Linked DNA regions of Sus scrofa. The protein of the gene in region 1 purifies or fractionates together with the protein of each later gene. This does not show direct contact. Links are inferred from orthologs where the notes say so. Each region holds a gene or a part of one and is shown in the gene's direction. Other genes may lie near its edges. The genes, in order: KDM5B and PAX9.

Evidence for each region.
Region 2: the proteins of KDM5B (region 1) and PAX9 purify together in Homo sapiens (affinity purification with western blotting, with the first as the bait; 3 studies listed by BioGRID). This does not show direct contact. The link is inferred for Sus scrofa from reciprocal best matches to the Homo sapiens genes KDM5B and PAX9.

What each region holds. Positions count from the first base shown.
Region 1 is NC_010452.4:24,758,280-24,762,108, reverse strand, and holds part of KDM5B (lysine-specific demethylase 5B), read left to right. Parts: intron 1-865; coding exon 866-1,047; intron 1,048-1,475; coding exon 1,476-1,600; intron 1,601-2,689; coding exon 2,690-2,840; intron 2,841-2,934; coding exon 2,935-3,049; intron 3,050-3,437; coding exon 3,438-3,793; intron 3,794-3,829. UniProt on the Homo sapiens protein: Histone demethylase that demethylates 'Lys-4' of histone H3, thereby playing a central role in histone code. Does not demethylate histone H3 'Lys-9' or H3 'Lys-27'. Demethylates trimethylated, dimethylated and monomethylated H3 'Lys-4'.
Region 2 is NC_010449.5:63,326,502-63,329,389, reverse strand, and holds part of PAX9 (paired box protein Pax-9), read left to right. Parts: intron 1-1,489; coding exon 1,490-1,744; 3' UTR 1,745-2,888. UniProt on the Homo sapiens protein: Transcription factor required for normal development of thymus, parathyroid glands, ultimobranchial bodies, teeth, skeletal elements of skull and larynx as well as distal limbs.

The sequences.
Region 1 (3,829 bases):
ACATATTTTCTTTTCTTTTCTTTTTTTAAATTTTATTTTGTCTTTTTAGGGGTACACTTGGGGCACATGGAAGTTCTCAGGCTAGGGGTCAAATTGTAACTGCAGCCATTGGCCTACACCACAGCTACAGCAATGCTAGATCCTTAACCCACTGAGCAGGAGGACCACGGATCGAACCCTTATCCTCATGGATTCTAGTTGGGTGTGTTACCATTGAGCCGCAACAGGAGCTCCGATCAACACATTTTAAGTCACACAGTCTCTATTTTGGTGAGGCTCTTAAAAAATTTAAAACAAGGAGTTCCTGCTGTGGCACAATGGAATAATCAGTGGGATCTTGGGAGCGCTGAGATGAGGGGTTTTTTTGTTTGTTTTTTTGTTCGTTTTGGTTTTTTTTTTGTCTTTTTGCCATTTCTTGGGCCGCTCTCGCGGCATATGAAGGTTCCCAGGCTAGGGGTCAAATCGGAGCCATAGCTGCTGGCCTACACCAGAGCCACAGCAATGCAGGATCCGAGCCGCATCTGCCATCTACACTACAGCTCATGGCAATGCCGGATCCTTAACCCACTGAGCAACGCCAGGGATCGAACCTGCAACCTCATGGTACCTAGTCGGATTCATTAACCACTGAGCCACGATGGGAACTCCAAGATGAAGGTTTGACCTCAGGCCCAGCACAGTGGGTTAAGGATTCAGCATTGCCACATCTGTGGCTTTAGGTGGTGACTGGCTCGGATCTGATCCCTGGCCCAAGAACTCCATATGCCATAGGGTGGCCAAAACAAAACTCAGCTATGCATGTTTGTTTTGGGAGCTGGTGGGTTGTATTATGCTTTGTAGAGCTCTAAAGTACACTTTATTCTAGGGAGTAATTGATTCAGAAAGAATGGACTTTGAGCTGTTGCCAGATGACGAGCGTCAGTGTGTAAAATGCAAAACTACTTGCTTCATGTCTGCCATCTCCTGTTCTTGTAAACCTGGCCTGCTTGTTTGCCTGCATCATGTAAAAGAATTATGTTCCTGTCCTCCTTATAAATATAAACTGCGGTGAGTAAGAAAAATGATTTTTTTTCTATGAAAACAAAATTTTTTGGGGGGGTATTTTATTATTATTATTTTTTGTCTTTTTGCCTTTTCTAGGGCCACACCGGGGCACATGGAGGTTCCCAGACTAGGGGTCTAATTGGAGCTGTTGCTGCCGGCCTACACCAGAGCCACAGCAACATGGGATCCGAGCTGCGTCTGCGACCTACACCACATCTCACGGCCATGCCGGATCCTTAACCTACTGAGCAAGGCCAGGGATTGAACCCAAAACCTCATGGTTCCTAGTTGGATTCATTAACCACTGTGCCATGACGGGAACTCCTGAAAACACTAAATTCTTAATAAAGGCTCAGTGACATTGAGAATGAAATGTCTGATTTCCTCCAAACCCACATATCTCAAAGCTAAGTCTACTCTTCTGTTTCCAGGTATAGATACACTCTAGATGACCTCTATCCCATGATGAATGCATTGAAGCTTCGAGCTGAATCTTACAATGAATGGGCCTTGAATGTGAATGAAGCTTTGGAGGCAAAGATCAATAAAAAGAAAAGTATGTAATATATAGAAAGTGTGGTTTGGTGATTGGCACATTGGGACTGATGATCATATAGCCAACCAAAAGTTAGCAAACCAGTTCCTTGAAATTGTTCAGCCAGATTCAGAGTGTTAGCAGAGGTTTTAAAGTCAAGAGTGGATGAGGTGGATGCCCTTGTACAGGATGAGGTATTGTTATAAAACATAATAACCTTTATACCTCTTTGTCTCAGGAACAAAAAAGTATTTTACATTTTATATGGAACCTTAGTAAAGGTTTTTGTTCTGTTTGTTTGTTTTTTAAGGGCCACACCCACAGCATGTGGAGGTTCCCAGGGTAGCAGTCAGATTGCAGCCTACCCTCCAGCCACAGCAAAACCAGATCTGAGCCTCGTCTGCCACCTACACCACAGCTCAGGGAAACACCGGATCCTTAACCCACTGATGGAGGCCGGGGATCAAACCTGTGTCCTCATGACTATTAGTCAGATTTGCTTCTGCTGAGCCACAACGGGAACTCCTTTTTGTTTCTTAAAATAGATCTCATCACAAAGGCAGCATGCCATTAAGAGTTTATGAAATGCTGGTTTATTACTGTACTTCATTCTAATCAAGGTCAAAGTCTGTTTCTTGTTACTACCTTTCAAAGTCACTGCTTGCCTTCCCATTTCTTTCCACAAAGTATTTTCATTTGCTTTCCTTTCTGTGGCTTTCTCATTTAGGAGAGGGTGCAGTATCAGTGGCTCTGAGCCTACTAGTTCCCTGCCAGTGGCAGAGTAAAATGCAGGAGGAAGAAGTGGTTCCAGCCACACTAAGATCTGGATTTGATCTGTTTTGACAAGGTATAACCTTGTCAAAGGTTATACCCTAAGTTTCAGTATCGTAACCAGGAGATTGACATCGGTATAATCCATCAGCCGTATTTAGTCTAGGCACTTTTTAAAGCACTCCATCCTCAGTACACCTCCCCCATCAAATGAACACATTTATTAAAGAGGTGGAATATTGCAAATATCTATAGATAAGAACTGATATTTGCAAACCCCTCCCCCCTGTATTTCATACATAATGATCACAAAAACGGGGACCTTTTCTTTATCCCTAGGCCTTGTCAGCTTTAAGGCTTTGATTGAAGAATCTGAGATGAAGAAATTCCCAGACAACGATCTTTTACGTCACCTCCGCTTAGTCACACAGGATGCTGAGAAGTGTGCCTCTGTCGCACAGCAGCTGCTTAACGGCAAAAGGCAGACGAGGTGGGTACTGCACGGACTGGTTAGGGCTCTCCCACAGCCCAGACTGGGAAGGGTGGGTGTGTTCTCACTTGGCTTCTTGGGCCTTTGTCTCTAGATACCGATCTGGGGGAGGGAAATCCCACAACCAGCTGACGGTGAATGAGCTCCGGCAGTTTGTGACACAGCTGTATGCTCTTCCCTGTGTTCTTAGCCAGACTCCACTGCTGAAGGTAACTGGATGGGAGGTGCTGCTGCTTTATGTTTTGTAAATAAGCTCACTTATCATTTTGGGTGGTTAATTTGTACATTATTGGCAAATGTTTCTAATAACATATTGAGTGGTATGCGTGTATAAAGAGATTATAACATGCGTGCAGAGGAGAAAGTCAGAAATTTTTACCTGGAAATTGACCACCAGCTACTCCTCACAGTTGGTATGTCTGTTATAGTCACTTGTTTTAGCTGTCAATTGGCTTATGTATTATGCTGTTTACCCGTATTGTTGCTAAAATCAAGTGAGATGGAAGAGGGTCATGTAGAATATGCATTGACAATTCTAAGCATATAAGAAGCCAGTTACAGAAATTACTGTTTTGATGCAACAATCTGTTCTTTTAGGATCTCTTGAATCGTGTAGAAGATTTCCAACAGCATAGCCAGAAATTACTCTCTGAGGAGATGCCCAGTGCTGCTGAGCTGCAAGATTTGCTAGATGTCAGCTTTGAGTTTGATGTTGAGCTTCCACAACTTGCTGAGATGCGTACCCGTCTGGAGCAGGCCCATTGGCTGGAAGAGGTGCAGCAAGCTTGCTTAGACCCCAGCTCCCTCTCCTTGGATGATATGAGACGTCTCATAGACTTGGGGGTGGGTCTGGCCCCATATTCAGCTGTGGAGAAAGCAATGGCTCGGCTTCAGGAACTGCTCACTGTGTCAGAGCACTGGGATGACAAAGCCAGGAGCCTCCTCAAGGCCAGGTAAATAAGCACACCAACGCCTCTGCCCTGGGGAAG
Region 2 (2,888 bases), on another chromosome or scaffold:
CAGTTTATTATTCGACAAAATATGACGGAAATTTCTTGGATCTGGGACAGGTTTAAGAAACCTGTTTCCTTTCCCCTTCCCTATTTTTTAAAGAACAAGCACTCAAAGAAAATGAGGTGTGTGTTCTTGTAGACCAACTACACAAAGTTAACACTACTTTTATTTTTGTTTTGTTGGAAATCCACAAGCAGTGTTAAATCACATACATATATATATTCTAACTCCATACATTACCAATTGAGAAAATAATTTTTGAGACCCCCCCACCCCCTGCATTCTCATAGACATGCAAAGGAAAATAATAACCAAATGAATTAAACTAGAAAACAATTTCTTCGTTGCAACTGAATTGGAAAAAGTATCTAACATATGTCTGCTTTTCTTACCTCTAAGCATTAAATCTGTTTTACTAATAGTATTTCTATTGTTTACATTATACTTCCATTAGGAAGTATATGTGATATGTTTATTTATTCATATCACTACTAGGAAACAGGAATGTCTTTTATTTCTAAACAAGAAATTGAGGAAGAGAAAATTAAGTTATTTGAAGAAAGGCGCTGAGTATTCACAACAGAATCAGGATTAGAAATCAGGGTGTTTTGGTGTTGTTAATAGTAACAATACCAACTATAATTTATTGGAATGCGAGAGAGCACTGGCTTCTAGGCAGATTTGCCTGCCAGAGTTGCTGCATCTTATTTGCAAACTAAGATATTACATTTAAATTCATTTAAAGAGATTTATCCATGTGGCTCCTAAAAATTTACATCACAGGGCCCTAAAACTTTGCAAGCAAGTTTTCTAACCTCAAAACCATGCATATGCAATTCCTTAGTATTCTGATAGACAGTTTCCTCTTTGACAAAATAGCTCTGGAGAAAACACCCCCATTTTCATTAAAAAAAAAAAAACTTACCAGACAAACTCCCTGATTTTGCATGTCCTTTGTCCAACAGGCATTTTCAACATGATGTCTAAGATGTCTAAAAATAGACATCATGTTTTATTTGACAAAGGTCATGCTCATTTTGAGTTTCTAAAGTGACAGCCCACACTCTGTGCCCTTCTTTACTGGAAATGAAAGCTACACCAACCAGGCCCTTCTCAACAAAAGAGCCAAACAAAACTGAAGTGTGGCAAGGTTAACAAAGGCAGAAAGATAGCTAAATGGATTCTAAGAGTATTTAGTCACCATTAATTCTTTCCTCACTTTACATTTCCTTCCATAGGCCAAACAGCAATGCAAACACTGAATTTTGTTTGTAGCCTCCTAAAAAAACCTCTGTGGAACGAATATGTTTTAAGTAGCAAGACTGTGAATGCGTTTAGAATATAGACAAATTATTTTTTAAAAATTGGAAAGCAGAGTCAGAATATTGTTAGTTCCTCCTCAGAACTCACATTCTGCCTCTTTCTAAGAACTCGTGAAATGTCAACCACTATAACGTGATTATTCTCACCTCTTCTCTTTTCCTACTCCTCTTAGGCACCAAATGGTCTCCCAGCTGTAAGCAGTTTTGTGTCAGCATCCAGCATGGCTCCTTATCCCACCCCGGCCCAAGTGTCGCCTTACATGACCTACAGTGCTGCTCCTTCTGGTTATGTTGCTGGACATGGGTGGCAACATGCCAGTGGCACCCCACTCTCCCCCCACAACTGTGACATTCCCGCGTCGCTGGCGTTCAAGGGAATGCAGGCAGCCCGAGAAGGTAGCCACTCTGTCACGGCTTCCGCACTCTGATGGGAAATTCCGTCTGCTGCAGCTGCACCCGAGTCCCCCCTTCTCCGCTCACCCTCCCCCTCTTCCCTGGTCTCGGATCCCACCCCTCTGCCCTCCAACCCTCCTGCCTCAAGAGCTGGCTTTACGGACTCACATCCTTTGTGCTGATGACACTTAAATATTTCTTGCCATAACTTCTCTCTCACAGAAAACCTGACACGACTTTAGGATTTGAAAACAAAAGCAATGTTAAGGATTGAATGAGACATTTGTATTGCCCACACACTGTTCTAACGTAGTGAAGAAACCTGCACCCCTCAAAGGGCTTAAGGAACTTTTAAAACGAGTCTTTGGTAAAACCACACGTGTATATTTATTCTAAATCAACCTGAACTTCTGAAACGTGCAATTGTTGAGATTCTGCAAAATCAATAAAATATGTATAGAAAAAAAGTTATGCTACACCCTCTAATCAAAAAGCTTAACAAAATAAGCTGTAATCCATTACTAGGAAACCAATCAATAACTCATTTTTTGAGTGATCCTTTGTTTATTTTTAACAGGTGACCTATTTTGTTGGAAAATACATGTATAACTGAAGCAATATCTGAATTTAGCTCCTCCTGGTGTTTTGATTGGTTCCAAATACAATAATGTTTATATTTTCTATTAGTTTGTAAATATGGACTCTGGATGGTGCATTTGCGTTTTCATTCCATGGGATATCCCCCCCCCCCCCCCGCCCCTGTCTATTTTTTTCCTTTCTTTTTGCAAAGGTGACTTTCTGGCAACGTCTTTGTCTCTGTTTGGTGGTGGGCTGCTCAGGCCCCTGGACCTGGACTTGCCCCAGATTTTGTGTATGCAGTGAAGGCTTCAACATCGCATGAAGGACATTTTCTTTCTACAGCAGAGGACTCAAAGCAGATAAAACAAGCCAGTCTCCCATTTTGTATCCCAATCAAACAACACACATGCCAAGCATAGAAAGACAAGAGGGTGGAAAATTACTGAACAAGAAGGCTCTAAAGGAAGTCACTTAGAAACTTAAGTTTAATGTGAAAGGCTTTGCAAAGACACTTAAAATGAACTTTATGTTAAGAAAACCACTGTGAAACTAAATTGTACTGTTATTGTTGGCTTACCTGTGTGTTCAGCAATCTCAGCC